Linked DNA regions of Lepisosteus oculatus. The protein of the gene in region 1 interacts with the protein of each later gene in a pairwise test. Links are inferred from orthologs where the notes say so. Each region holds a gene or a part of one and is shown in the gene's direction. Other genes may lie near its edges. The genes, in order: rab2a and tbc1d25.

Region 1 (8,098 bases):
AAGCTGTTCTGAGTTATTTTTCTCCCTTGTGCATATTGTATGATGAGTTTGTAAATGTCACAATCAAATACAACAGCAAGAATGCTTTTAAAAGCAAAAGCAAATTTTGTGTTTTATGCAATGTTATCCGTGTAAGCCCCTTAAATAACACAATCTATACAATAAAAAAGGCTACAATACTCGCAAAATCCTTTAGGGAGAAAGAAGCACCACCACCTTAAACTGAAATTGTATTTGATTGCAAAGTAGAAAAAAAAACTATTATCCCTGCATTCACTTCAAAATGTCTGCCCAGTCAACAATCTCAAATTACAAATCCCAGTTTTCATGACAGCTGTTAGTTTGCTAGAGGTGTCTTCCTTGGAACGGAAGCACTGGATTTTTCAGTTGTAATCTATATTTCCTGATTGATAGATGCATCGAAGTTTGTTAAGACCTGGGTTTCAGCCCAAAAAACATAACACAAATCCAGCATTACTGTGTATGTTGTATACATAGTCTACTTCATTCTGAAAATTCCCCAATTTCTATTTCTGGATGTGTTAGTTGAAGATTAGTGTCCTTCTTCTGTTAACAGCCAGTGGCAGACATTTTGAAAACTGCCCCAACACTTTCATCTCAATTAACACAAAACATTCTTTATCTCTTAGTTCAACCCAACATGGAACAACACATTTGAGTTACATTTACGTCCATATTTAACGACTTAAATGATTTTAACACATCAAAAGTCTCTTCTTCTGAATATACAGTATCCAAAATATGAGAAATAGATAACTGTTATATGGTTTGGTTATCATACCTCTTCTTTTCCTTTTCTGTTTCCTCTTATACCTACTTCTTTACTTTCCTTTTAACTTTACAAGTCCTTTCATCTTACAAATCTTCCTTTTATGTTTCGCTTACCTTCCTGTATTTTCTCATTCCTCTACTAACCCACAGCTTAAGGTTAAGAGAGGAAGTCCTCTGAAGGCTTTCTCTGATACCATTTGCATTTTATAGCTTTGGAATTTTCTCTTAGTCCTGGAACGTGGAATACATTTGTGTTTTTTTCTCACACATGCAGACTGGTTCTGTATTTCCTGCTATTTTGGTCCCTGCAAAATGTGACCCAGAATTCTATTTTTGGTCTCTGATTATCTGTGATTACAGACATTACAAAATATACTATAGAAACAGAAATACATACAAATATACATGTACATTCCCAATCAACACAATCTTTTTAAGGCACTAAGAAATTCCATTATTTTTAATACAGCTGAACTCTGTGATCATGGATTCAGTTCCGGGTCGTGTCACTAGCCAACTATAATAATAATAATTGCTTACACTTATATAGCGCTTTTCTTGATACATAACTCAAAGCACTTTACGGATAATGGGTACTCTCCTCCACCACCACCTATGTCCAGTCCCGCCTGGATGATGCAACGGCAGCCATAGTGCGCCAGAACACTCACCACACACTGAGGAGAACAGAGTGATGAAGCCAGTTCATAGATGGGGATTTTGGTTATACCCCTACTCTTTTCAAGAAACGCCCTGGGATTTTTAATGACCACAGAGAGTCAGGACCTCAGTTTTAAGTCTCATCCGAAGGACAGCGCCTTTTTACAGTATAGTTTCCCCGTCACTATACTGGGGCATTAAGACCCACGTAGACCACAGAGTAAGCGCCCCCTGCTGGCCCCACTAACACCTCTTCCAGAAGCAACCTTAGGTTTTCCCAGGAGGTCTCTCATCCAGGTAAGATAAGATAAGATCACTTTATTAGCCATATACAATTTCCTGCGTTAGGAATTTGTCTTTTCACATACCCCAGCTTGCTCTCCATAAGATACAGACAGGGAGAGAGAAGCTTGGGGTCAGATTGTATAGCACCCCTATAGCACCTGGGGTTAAGGGCCTTGTTCAGGGGCCCAATGGAGTTAGATTCCTCTGCCGGTTGCAGGATTTGAACCGGCAACCTTCCAGCCACAGGTGCAGATCCTTAGCCACAGTGCCAGCACTCCGCCTGGCTGGCAGGTACTGACCAGGCTCACACCTGCTGAGCTTCAGTGGGCTGCCAGATGTGAGTTGCAGGGTGATATGGCTGCTGGCATATACAGAGTAATACAGAGCAATACAGTAAATAGAGTAATACACAGTGATACAGAGAATACGGGGAATTCAGTGTCGTTGTGCAGGTGACTTACTTCATTACCTGATGGAGTCTCAGGGACAGGTGTCATCAATGACAGGGCAATGGCTTCCTCCTCTGGGTTTGTGAAGAGAAAGGTTGTGGCGTCAATGGCCTTTCCCACTACTTTAAGCGCTGCTGGGACAGGTGCCAAGCCAATCCCCTTTCCGTCCCCTTCACTCCTCATGACTGCCCCAGCCCAGACTGTGTTTGCTGACTCCATCACATTAGGCTTACGCTTCTGGTTGACCTTATTGGCTGTCACTCTGTCTCTTGCTGTAACTGGGATTCTGCAATGCAAGATGCACAAGGAGCTGTGTGACCATGACAGTAGGGTGAGATTAGCTGGCCAGGACTTTTTCGGCTTTCTACTGTTGATGAGGAATGGAACTGTAACGAAAGCATTCTTCCAGGACCCTATGCAGACGACACAATCCGGGAAATCCAGGTCTCTCTGGTGACCAATGGCAGGGTTAAGAGCTTCAAGCCAAGACGAGAAAAATGAAAAAAAAACAGACAAATTAGAAAGTCTAGTAGAGATCCTCATGAAAGAGAACTGAGATTCAGGGAAAGAGGAATAGTACAGACAGCCATGATCAACACCACAGAAGGATACAGCTAAAGGTGTATCCTGTGAGAACACCAAGGTAGCCCACGGGTGAGGAGAAGTCATGGCGAAACAGCTGGTGCTACACTGATCGCAATGGCATGCAATATAAAAAAAGCAGCCCGCATGATAGGCGAGTTGTGCAGAGACTCAGTGCAAACTCCAACAGCCAGAACTACAATGACAGGGATTAGCTACAGCCCTGGCAGGCAGGACATGGGCTGCATTGGGCAAGAGGGTGGGAAAAAGAGCGTGCTGGGATGCTTTTTCGGATAGACATGGTCCCCAGCCACAATCAATGAGTGGTGCCCAAGTCGGGATCACACTCCAGTTGCCTTAATTGAAGACTCCAAAGATCCCAAGTAGTGGCGGTTTTAGGTTGCGGCCAAAATGGGATAATCAGCTATTGAGGGTGTCTGGGAAGTTGCAGCACCCAGAAAAATGCTGTATGGGGATGGAGGTCCGAGGAAACTTATTTTTAGGGAGAAATGATTGGCATGGATTATCTCCTACACCATAAAAGGCTAAGCCCAGATTTTGCAACCTGATGTGGTGTATTATTTCATCTAAAATCAGGTTGAAAACAAGAACTACCCACTGCTCCTTTTATAGTGAGACAGGCTTAGGGAATAATGTGTGCCATGACATGATATTGTGCCTGGCAAGCTTGATTAGAGGTTTTACATCCGTGTGTGCCATGCTCTCAGTATTTTTGAACTGAGATAAACAAATGTGAGGCACTTGATCAGTTTGTGCTAAGTTCCCGAGAACATGGCAGGACAGGATAAGCTAGTATAGTCTGAGAACTAGTGGAGAATCAGAGGCATAGTCAAATTGTGTCTGAATTTGGGGTGATAAAAGGCTTTTCAGCAATGCAGTTGGGTAAACTGCTTAACAAAGTTTCTCCCCGGTTTGAACATTTGAATACCAAATCTGACCACTGTTGTTTATTACTTCTATTAAATTTTGTTTAGATTATTTAGTTACATTTATGTGTGAAACCATTTATCTCCTGCTCAAACGCTTTGTGTCTGGTTCAAAACCCAAATAAATCCTAACTTACATCTTTAGATAAGATAAGATACATGTTCTGGATGTGTTTACCATTTTTTCTAGAAGCACAGCTCAAAGTGCCAGGACTCTGATTTCTCATATATCCAGAATGAAACACACATTCTGAAGTCATCTCACAATCACAGGCATAGGTCCTTAAATTTCATAAATTGCACTCATATACACCTTCCCTGCAAGTAAAGTGAAATTAAAGTGAATATTAAAAAAATAATTAATATTCAGGGCACTGGAACAGGTAATCGTTTCACCCCAGAAGCTGAATAGGTTTCAGCACTAGCTTTTTCTACAGAATCTCACACTGTGGAGCTGTAAATCTCACCCTTAAGGAGTCAGCCTGTGAAAATTCTTTAAAAGTTAGAAGCATTTGATCAAATATCACAGAATTATTTTTACTCAGTAGAAATGAAGAATTTTATAGAACTTATAGCACAACAGTAAATGTATATTATCATGACAGCATGACAAAATCCTGTGACTTCTTTAATTCACTAATACTGTCAAAGCTGTGCAATCATTAATGTTACCAGTATAGTTTCTAATATCATACTTTATTTTAAGTTTTTGTGGAAGCAGGCAGTTTTTTTTTCCATTGGGCACTTCCAAATGAACTTTTGGAAGTTTGCAGAGACTACAAACTTTAAAACGTCTTGTTTGTGAAGTACATGCAGACTTCATCCCTAACATCACGAATTCTTTTCTTACACATTTCAGCATTTTTTGCTGAACACCTTTCCAACCTTGAACAGGGCAAAAAGTAAAGTTTTAAAACCTGCGTGCCTTTTTTGGTATGTCTAAACTCTCTGTAATAGGTGAATTATTCCAATACTCAAGCATTGCCAAATTAATTTCAACAACAAGGCACATGATAAATACATCTTGTATTTCGAATAGGATTTTTGTGTGTTGTACCTTTGGCATACGCGATGTCAGTAACAAAGCGGGTAAGTATGTAGAATTAAACAAAAAAGCAGTGAAACAGATTCTCAGCGCACTAGCGCCGGCACGGCTACAGAGACAGCAGACAGTCGGCGCTCGTCTTAACATACGGGTTCGGGCGCAGCAATGTCAGCACTTCCGGGCGCAGCAATGTGAGCGTGTTCTGCGTGCGTGGCGAAGGCGGAACGTGTGACGTGGGCAGCCCGGAGCTCGGAGGTGTTTATTGTTCCTTCTGGTCGCCGAAGAGAAAGAGGCTGGTGAAGCGGAGTGAGACTGAGAGAAAGCACAGGCTTTTTCCCCGCCACTTCCTCTCTCCACAGCTTGAACGAGTAACACAGCGAGGGAGCAAAGCACAAGACCCGGGCAGAAACAGCATCCCAGCGGCCATGGCATACGCGTATCTCTTCAAATACATCATTATCGGAGACACGGGTGAGCAGCCGCTGTGTGACGGCGTAGGAAAAGAGAGAGAGAGACATTTACGTCTCTCTCTTATTTCCGCAGTGTTGGAGTCAATGACGTGGTAAAAGCACAGGAACGCTAGGGTGGGAGGGCTGCTTAGTTTCTTCCCCCCCCGTTAAAATAACTGATCTAAGGTGACATAATTGCCATTTGGCAGGTGAATTGACAGCAGCCGCCTCGGCACCGGCCTGCTTGTGTCTTTCCATTGCGATTGCGGCGAGGGTGGAGGGGAGGTGGGGGCTAATTGCATTGCAAACACCAAATAACCCTTTCCCCGAAAATGGCTCCGGCGAAGACGGACCCGTGTAGCAAGATGCGCCGGCCCTCTCTGGGGGGCTAGACGGGCAACTGTTGGACGAGTCCGCCCGCAGATCGCCGGCTGCCCGTCGTCGTGTTAACGTCTGCAGGGGAAGGAAATGTTTTCGCTTTGGGGGGGAAAATGGCGTTTTCAGCGGTTTTGCAGACTGTCAGCCTTCGGGTTGACTCTGCTTTTCGGTTATGTAAATCATCGGCGACAGGTTTTTTTTGTAGGCCTAGGTGGTGATGGGGGGGTTATATTTGTGCATGCCAGCTCACCTGCAACACACTGTTCCACCTGCGGGGAATAAATAGTATAATCGGAGGTTGGAGGAAAATAATAAAAAAACTGGCCTTGCAGTTCTCCTAGCTGTCAGGGGAGCTCCGTGGGTTGTTTCGCATATGCTGGCTTGACAAAAGTCCGGGCCTTCGCTAGACCCTGGTCATTTCGTGATAAAGATGCCCTTTCATCTTTTGGGTTGCTTAGGCGGTGTGCGACACCTTGACCGGGTTTCAGCCTTCTTCAGCTATATTTCTGTTAGCTGAAACGGGGAGGAAAGCCCGTGTTAGTTTGCTCTCTTGTTCGTTGTGAAACCCTCTCTTAACGCACTTACCATCTCAGCATCACAGGTTATAACATACTTTCCTAGATGGCATCCGACTAATTTAAACCTACAGATCCGCTTCAAAAATAATCTTCGCATATGTCATCCCCTGCAAATCAACGTTTTGCGAATTTGCTTAAAATATAGATACAAAACTATTCTTTATAGACATGGACGTTATTATCTGGAAATAAGGAAAGAACGTTTTTTAAGAATGTATTTATTTTATAGACTGGCACATAGGAAGATTGAAGTAAAACTTGCGCACAGCCTGTTATCCTCACCATGTCCTAAATGAATTAATTCAGTACTAATTTTGCCACTTGGTAGAATAAGTTTTAAGTGACTTAGAATAGTATTATATTTAATTATTTAATCATTTACTTTATACATCAGTGAGCTGCATTCCTGGTGGCAGTACGTGTGGTTATGATGTTGGTTTATTAATCGGTTATAAACTCTTTATCATACCAGTCAAAATAGTAATGTCCAGGTCAGTATTTGCAGAATTTTGATTTAACTGCTACCCTTTGCACAACAATATAAATGCAGGTTTCATACATTACCAATATAAATGTTGTCTTTAATTTTGCTGTAGATTTTAAAATTATTTTTCCCAGAGTCCTGAGAAGTTATCGGATTGTGTTTCTCACAAGATGTACATGTGAAGTAATTAGCTGCTGTGGTCTCAAACTTTGGTTTATGAAGTAAACTCACATACAAGTGTCCCCTGCTCAATCCAACAACGCCACTTATTTTTCACACATGGCTAAACCCAGGTCTTCAACGAAATGTTATTGCCTGTCATAGCACCCTCTTTCCTAGTCTTATTTTTCTGTGTTTGCTGAGAAGTACCAAAGTTGTGCCTCACAGTTAAATGTTATTGAGTCATTTAAATGGCCTAACCTCAAAATGGTAACTGCAGACATTGACACAAGGCCTGTGTCAGCAAGGCTGAATTGGTACAGCTCCCTAATACTTATTTTATAATGCAATGGTTCAGATGTTGCATGTGATATTGCACAGAGGGTAGAAATGTGGTGGGTGTACTGTGTACTGCAGTTCAAAGCTCATGCAATGTGGAATATCCATCTGGGACTGCACTCCAGCAAGGGTGTGGAGAGCTGGTGCGCTCCTGTTGCTCAGTGTCTTCCATAGTAACCGGCAGAAAGGATTTGACTTAGCGCATGTCCTCCAGGTTTCCCTGCAGGGCATTCCATGCCCTTAACGAGGGCGGTGTGCTGAAGAAAGGGCTGGTAACGCATGCTGCTGTGCATCTGTATTTAAAGGCAAATGATCCTGGTAGAATTCTGGAGCCAGTAGTAGTCTTTGATCAGTGCAATGACCAACTTTAAGTCTCTCTTGGGTTGGAACGTGTCTGCCAGACTGGCAGACAAGCCTTTGCAGTGAGTCTCGTTTACTTCTTGGCTGTAATGGGAGAAGTAGTGCAAGCTCTGTGGGACAGCGTGTGTTTTAAAGGATGTGGCGTGTAATATTTTAGAGGAGGAAGAGACGACCGTGAAACTGAAGCTCGGTGGTGACTGTCTTGGATCCAGAGGAGGAGAGGGAGGAGGAATGAGAGGCAGAGCGACAGAGAATCGGACAAGATGAGGACGCAGGCAGAGAAAGGAAAATGTAGTTTTGATTTGTTTTAGAAAAGTTAAATCTAGATTTAAGACTGAAGTCCTGAGGTCATGCCCTTTGCCAATTCGATATTCATTAGAAAAAGTTTCAGTAGTCTCTCTTTTCTTTAAAAAACTCTTTCAATAGGCTTTAAAATACTGTTTCAAGAAATGAGCTTGAATACTTTAAAAAAAAGAGGCCGAACATTTTCACAAGTTCAGCTCATGTTTCATCACGCGCTGCTTCCAGACTTCCTCCATACAACTTCCATAATAAAACCGCCCCTTATCACAGTCTTATTTAGCATCTGAA
Region 2 (7,553 bases), on another chromosome or scaffold:
CAGGTGGATGCTGCACATTGGTGGTGGTGGAGGGGAGTCCCCATTACCTGTAAAGCGCTTTGAGTGGAGTGTCCAGAAAAGCGCTATATAAGTGTAAGCAATTATTATTATTATTATTATTATTACTCGCTCAGCAAGGTCGCTCGGTCCTGTGTTTCTGTCTTTCCGAGTCTGGCCGCTAGATGTCAGTGCGGTGACGCCGGTTGCCGTTGCTAGGAGCCACGACAGCTGAGTTCCTGTTGTCCGTGTCGACGTCACCGGAAGTGCGGCGACAGGGAAATTGCACGGTGCTGCAGGGAGACGGCGGCAGGTGAAGATTGGAGTTAAATTCATTTCATTCAAAATGCAGAATGGTTATTGTAAAAAGGGAGGATTTAATTAGGCTATATTCCTAGCCGCTTGTGCACATTTGAGTGAGTTTTAGTATCAGAGATAAAATGATGAGCACAAAACAGAGAAAAAGTTCTAATTGGTGTTCTGTAGAGTATATGCAGTCAGTTGTTTTTCCCGATCTATCCCTTCTTGTGATAAATGCTGAAGACACCGTTGCTGAATTACTTGCCCTCAATGAGCTGGCGCTTAGCTTAGTAGCAGCAGCGATCAGTTACTAACGGGCTCCCAGCGACGAGGCGTACAGCCTCACATTCACCCCTGTGGACTGCAGCCGTGCAGGTCTCGTCTGGGCTGGGCCGGCTCCGGTGTGCGGGTACCCCGGCCAGGCTCTCAGTGTGCTGCGCTTGATCCCTCTGTTTCCCGGGCCGCTGCCGCGGGTCGCCCTGAGGATGCAGGGGAGAGGAGCTGCCAGTTCGTGGGTCTCGGTCACCCCCAGCGGGTGGAGGGCGGTGAGCAGGAGGACTCTGGAGAGGGGATCGGGCGTTGAGACCCCCAAGCTGGGCTCGGTGTGCCGAGTCAGGGTCCAGTCCCTGGCAGCGGATGATCCGGGGGCGCAGGCCGACAGGCCGACTGGTGTGGACGCCCAGCAGCGTCAGGAGGACACCCACACTGCGGGGCTCGACGGGAGCCCCTCCTCTGTCCTGCAGGTTCCCCTCAGCGAGTGGGTCGAGCTGCGGCTGGGAGAGGGACAGTGCGACGTCATCGAGGGCTGTCTGGAGAGCATGAGGGCTGGAGGGGTGTGTGAGGTGAGGAGTCCGTCCCCACCAGGACTGACTGCAGGGTCTCTAGCTGGAGGAGTCCGTCCCCAGCAGGACTGACTGCAGGGTCTCTAGCTGGAGGAGTCCGTCCCCAGCAGGACTGACTGCAGGGTCTCTAGCTGGAGGGGTGTGTGATGTGCACAGACAGTCTGGTCCTTCTATTGACAAAGAGAGGATTGCAAGTTTGTATTTTCCAGGTGTGTCTCTGTTATTTGAAATAAGGAAACATTTGTATTTAAATTGCATTGTTTTTATAGTTCATTCCCCATGGGTGTGTGCTTGTTCTAGCAGTGTACATTAACCTGGTAGGAATTATTTGCTCCTTTGAATATGAAAAACATTTGTCATGGAAAGACAGATCGAGGTGTTTGTAAGTCATGGTAACACACGAGTGCACAGTGATAACCGGACCTCTGATATTTAGAATAATGTCTGACATTGAGGATGAATGTGTTAAAAGGTGCACAGACAGATTATCTGGGTGTTAAAGAGGAGGGCAGTCTGTTCACTGGTATTCCTGCTTTCTACTGTAGTTGTAGGCTGTTCCGGTCGTGCTGTGCACTGGGATTCCTCTTTCAAACGGAAGCACTTGTGTGTTTGACTGGGACTAAGAAAACTCGGGGATCTGTGTCCTGTTCTGAGTGGATCAGCTTCTTTCATTCCTTTAGACAGAATGCTGACTAGTCAGAGTCACAATTAGCTTTTGATTTACCTGCTTTCAAACGGTAAATAATCAAACTCTAATTCTTCACAGCGCAGCCGATCGTTGTTAACCTTGTGTCCACACTCTTCCTCTGAAACCACAGCTGCTGGTGACAGCCCTGGACAGCAACACGGGACCCGAGGGGCGAGTGGCGCAGCGGGGCGGAGGTCAGGGGGCGCAGCCTGGGTGGCGGGACGGGGCGCCTCCTCCCCCCTGCCAGCGCCTCCGAGTGGAGCTGCAGTCCTTCAGCCCCGGCCGGGAGTCCTGGGAGATGAGCCTGCCGGAGAAGTGGGCCTGGATCAGGGCTCACAAGCAGAGGGGCGGCGAGAGGTTCCGGGCGGGGGACGTGTGGGGGGCCGCCGACTGCTACGGCAGGGCGCTGCGGCTGCTGGCCACCCTGAGCAGGGGGGGGGCGGGAGCCAGCGGTGCGCTGGGCTCGAGCCCGGACGATCAGGGGGACGAGGACAAAGCCACCGAGGGCCAGATCGTCTCGGAGGGGGAGTACCGGAGGGTCAGGTCCGAGCTTCACGCCAACATGTCCCTGTGCCAACTCAAGCTCGGCCAGCCTCACAAGGCCAGGGTCAGCGCTGCTCAGGCCACGGAGCTGGATCCGGCCAGCACCAAGGCCTGGTTCCGCCTGGGGCTGGCTTGCTCCGAGCTGGGGGAGCTGGATGCGGCCAGGACCGGACTCACAAGGGTTCTAGAGCTGCAGCCCGGCTCGGCGTCGGCCCTGAGGGCTCTGAGAGACATCGAGGCCAGAGAGAAGGCGATCAGCTGCCAGCTGGGCCGCGCGCTCAGCAAGATGTTCACCTAGAGGAGACGGGTGCAGGCAGGCGGCAGCCCGTCACACAGACGCTGGAGCATCGCCATTGGCTTAGCGTTGAGCTCCTGTACAGATCACACAGACTGCAAACCGCAAATACCACAAAAGAACAAGTAAAGGGTTTTTCCATGTTGAAAAGAGAAGAAAAGAAACGCAACGTTTCAGCTGTGGAGCCTTCTTCAGGTGTCGCACACACCTCCATGGAATAAGTGTTTACTTGTTCCTTTGCAGACTATGCATGCTGACGCATATCCCTGCTTGAGCTACTTCAGCGAGTACTGCATTAATGTGTCCTGTTTAGCACGAGCAGCGCTGTTTGCATTGTTTGTGTCATATGTAATGAGTCTCTCAGTCTACAAGGCCGCTTACAGTGGAGGTGTTAAACAGTCCTGTGTGCTCCAGTGAGTGGCTCTAGAGAAGTGTGGGACAGGACTGCATCCTGCTGAGCCCCCACTGCTGGGCACTGCTGACGGAGAGACTCTTCTGATCCAGTCCAACACTGAAATATGCCACACTGCTTACAAAGACGTTGAAAGTAATTAGAAAGTGTCTGTCTTTCTGCATGGAGCATTACAAACACCCAGAGATACAGTCCTGTATAAGGTGCCATTACTGGTATACTTTTATAACTGTGGTAGTGCAGTTAACCTTGTGTGTAATAAAGATATCGATTGGAGCTAAGACTTGAGTAATTTTCTTTATTATAAGTGGGTTGAATTAGAGTCACGGAAGGACGCGTTCATGGAGAGTTTGTAAGTGTGCAGTTTGTGTTAACGTGTTCAGGTGCTGCAGCGCTGTGCCCTGCTGCAGTGAGGTTGGGCTTGGGGTCACAGGCTGGTGGGGATCTTCCTGAACCAGCTGCTGGGCGTGAGGCTGGCGTGATGAGGCACTGGGACTGGGACTGGGACAGGAAGCTGTGTTTGTGCTCGTCATGGCGGGGCTGCTGGACGAGTGCAGGAAGCCCCGGGACCCGACCACCCGAACCCGCCGGACAGTCACAGCAGCGGCAGTCTGTACACAAACGCGCACAGAGCCCTTCGGAAAGATCAACGCGCGTTCTGCGCCATCGGTGAACCAGATCTCCCCCGCAGCCCAACATGCCAGCAAATTGGCTTCTGATGCCGGTTTCGATGCAATGTTTCATATTTACAATTGATAAAATATACCCTTCGATATCGGATCAGTTATTTCAACAATAAAGCAGTGTTCAGTCTTTCTGTTTCTAACTGCACACCAGAGCAATCTGAAGGAGAAACTGCAGGAGCTCCTCTGAGCTGATGTCCAGGTGTCCGTGTTTCTGGGTCTTTCCCAGAAGACCACTGGGAGCCGCTCCTGTCCCGGACAGAGTCTGAGTCTCATTTCCCCTGTCTCTGCTTCTGCATATTCTTGTCAGAAAAATAAACATCGATCCTTTCTACTCTAAAGACAGCTTTAAGCTTTGCTTAAACTTCCAAAGGTCCCGGTCAGTATTTCTGTGATTGAAAGTGTCGGTATGGTAATGACTGTGATTCTTTTAGAAAGTCAGTTCTGAGACAGGTGTAGTATAGAGGTAACAGCAATTCTGTAGACTCAGGGGCAGCTGGTTCAGGTGTGTGACTACAGGGCTGTCATGCGGGCTGACAAGGACTGGAGTCTCAGTCCACGTGTTTGCGTCGGGAGCTCCGTCCCTTTAAACCCTCGGCCCGCGCGCGCGCCGCGGTTCCTGAATGATGTAATGCCAGTGACGTCACATCCTGGAGAGCGAGGAGGAGGCGGCCCGACGCAAACAGCTGTGGGCCAACATGACACAGTGAGGTTTCTGTTTTCAAAAGAAGGAGAAAAAAAAAACCCACGGAATTAAGGAGCCGGCAGGTTAAAGAGCGAATCGAGATCAGCATCGTCGCGGCGGTGAGCGCGGCCGCTGGGCGCCATGGCGGGCGAGGAGGAGAGGGGGGTCGTGCGAGTCCGGGTAAAGGTGAGAGTCGCCCCGACAATAACTCGCAGTGAGCCCGGGGCAGGCGCCCCCCGCAGCACCCCGAGAGCTGCTGCTGTCCAGCCCGGCCGGCTGTGGCGTGTTGGCTCTGGGCTGTTGTTGTGACCCCATTTGACAGAGGCGACAGCCGCGGTCTCCGGTCAGCCGGTTATACGGTTATGTCTGGAGTGAGCGTCAGGTAAGGCAAGTCAGGGGGAAAAAAAGAGGACCGTTTTAAGTGAATAAGCTGCCATTTTGTCGTTTTGTACCAGCGGCCACATAAAAACGAGGCAGGGCGCGCTTGTCCTGGACACGGAGGGCGAAAGACGACGCAGCCCGCAGTCCTGGGCTGTGCGCGGCGGTGGGGGTCGCCAGCTGCCCGGCTGGCCCTCCGCGGGTCTGGACGAACGGGCAGCTGTGCGGTTGAATTCGGCCCCGGGTACTCCTGAGCAAACTGCCCCTGGAAGTAAGAGCTCAACGCTTTCCTTCTGCGGCCGTGCAGACGAGCAGAGCTGCTCTTGTGTCCGGGAGACTGGACCTGACCCGGCGCAGCGGGGAGCCGGACCGGGGTCAGGTGTCAACAGGGCCCCCTTGTCTTTGTGTCGCTGCACGTGGTACATCCTAGGACAGGTGTTGCCTTGGCAGAAGAGAATATACGGTGCTAAATGAGAGTCAGCTGTGCTTTGAGTTGTGGTTTTAATCAGCGGTGACCCGCAGGGAGACAAACCCAGGACATCCTGACAGGAGTTCGCCTGCAGGTTTGTCTCTTTGCCAAAGGCCAGTCGTGTAGGGCTAGAGCAGACCTTGCTGGCTCTGGCTTGTCTGAGCTGCGCTGCCTTCTCTCCCTCTATGTCCTCTTGTCTCTCCTTACAGCTGTTTATCCAGACATTTTCTAACCTCTGTATCCAATTCAGGGGCGTGGGGGGGGGCAGGAGTGTATCCTGGCAAATGGGCGCAAGTCAGGACACCAGTCCGTCACAGCGCTGACGCACAGAGACACACACACTCGCACCAGGACTGGTGTTCTCAGAAGCCAATTTACCACTTGCATGTCTTTGGACTGTGGGGAAACAACCCACACAAACTTGAGGAGAACATACTAACTCCACACAGGTTGTACCCCAGATCTGAAATTGGCTCCGGGCCTCAGCGCTGTGAGGCAGCAGTGCTCACCACTGTTCCATTGTGCAGCTGTTCAGTGGTATGAAAATGTATTTGCATGTTTCATGCTTTCCTAAATGGGTATACTTAGCTGGGTTGAGTAACACCATTTCTACATTGCAGACCGTTTTGACCGAGTACCTCTCTTGCAAGACGGCGCACGTGAACTGTGCTTGTTTCGCTCTCTCACTCGGCCGGAGCCCCCCTGACTGTGTCTCTCTCTCCCTGGCAGAAGTGTGAGGGTGTCCTGCCTGCGGAGTACCGCTCCTTCGCTGTGGACCCCCAGATCACCTCCCTGGAAGTGCTGCAGCACATCCTCATCCGGGCCTTTGAGCTCAACGGGTCAGCAGGGGGCGCTCGGGGCGAGGGGGCAGGGAGAGGGTCTGTGTGTATGAGGTGTTGGGGAACCCAGCGGATCTCAGAACAAAAGACAGTTTGCAGATAAGAGGAAGGCATTTGGCTCCTCTGCCCCGTCTGTTTTTTGGAAGTTTAAATATGACCTGATCCGGGCGTATCTCGGAAGAAATAATTATCGTTTTTCCTGCTCCTCACATCCCTTTGTGTGGAGTATTCTCGGATGCGAATGTACTTGCGTCCCCTGGTTCAGTGCTGGTTCTGATTGAGTCACTGGGCTGGCAGTGACGTGCAGAAGAGCAGAGTTTGCCTGCGCTCCCTAGTGAGCTCCGTCTTCAGTGAGCTGTAGGTCCCGGAGATTCCAGCCCGTCTGGGAGAACAAGCTCCCAGATGGAAATGAGGCTGCTCCAGCAGTGCGGACAGCTCCGCCTGCCCTGTCCCGCACAGCACAACACCCGGAGCTGAAACCCACTCTGGAACAGTGAGCTCCAGGGACACCGATTGTGTCAGATTTTTTAAGTTAATACATTTTTGGTAGTTAAATAATTAATCATTATAGATATGTTTATAAATGTTAAATGTTGGTTAATTAAGTATTGGTAGAAACTAAAGCTAATCTCTTCAAAACTGTACTTTCTTGTACTCTGTTGCATATGACAGAGTAGATCTTTTTACAGTTAACTACTGTGCAAAGAGAAACCGTTATCACCAGTGTCTATTGCACTGGTGTTACTCTCTCTTACAGGAAACACGTTAACGTGAGTCAGAGTTAAACGCCTTAAGTTGGGTATTGGGCTGAAATTGTTGCTGTGCTTCAGGGCTGAGGTCTCTATGGCATGTTCAGATTGAATTGTTCTGGGGTGTGCAGTGCCCTGCAGCGTGACTGAAGCTCGCTCTCTCCATTACGATCGTTCAGGAAACGGAATTTTGGGATCAGCTATCTGTCGCGGGACAAGCAGGGGGTGGAGGCGTACCTGTCGCTCATGTCGGACTGGGACCTGGACGCGGCCTTCGTCAGCGCTGCCAAGCCCTACCTGCAGCTCAAAATCGAGATCAAGCCCTCCGAAGACAGTGAGAGGCGTCTTCTGCTTGTGTTCGCTTGGCACTTTCTGCCTTTGATTTTGTTAAAAAAAAACCTCCATAGAAAAGCGTCATTTCTTTGTATTTGTGATCCAGTCTCCCGCAACCAGCACGTTGATCTTCTTAGACCTTTATTGATTTTTTTCAGTTAATTTACGAGAACGGTTTTAGAAAATCCTGAGATTTGAGCATGTAATAAGCACAATATAATCCTTTGTCTCTTTGAGACGTTAATACCCAGTGTGAATTGTTGAAATAAATGTAGCACAGCCTGAACTGCCCTCGTGCACATAGTGGTGTGTAAGAGGAGTGGATTACCGGTGCTGCACG

Evidence for each region.
Region 2: the proteins of rab2a (region 1) and tbc1d25 interact in binary tests that used the Homo sapiens proteins (3 or more experiments, as listed by UniProt). The link is inferred for Lepisosteus oculatus from reciprocal best matches to the Homo sapiens genes RAB2A and TBC1D25.

What each region holds. Positions count from the first base shown.
Region 1 is NC_090701.1:50,091,841-50,099,938, forward strand, and holds the start of rab2a (ras-related protein Rab-2A), read left to right. Parts: upstream 1-5,027; 5' UTR 5,028-5,185; coding exon 5,186-5,231; intron 5,232-8,098.
Region 2 is NC_090697.1:77,793,389-77,800,941, forward strand, and holds the start of tbc1d25 (TBC1 domain family member 25), read left to right. Parts: upstream 1-4,394; 5' UTR 4,395-4,586; coding exon 4,587-4,631; intron 4,632-4,900; exon of another isoform or gene 4,901-5,094; intron 5,095-6,021; coding exon 6,022-6,131; intron 6,132-7,059; coding exon 7,060-7,214; intron 7,215-7,553. Other genes in the region: fkbpl (FK506-binding protein-like), read left to right, coding at 783-1,139, 1,958-2,668. UniProt on the Homo sapiens protein: Acts as a GTPase-activating protein specific for RAB33B. Involved in the regulation of autophagosome maturation, the process in which autophagosomes fuse with endosomes and lysosomes.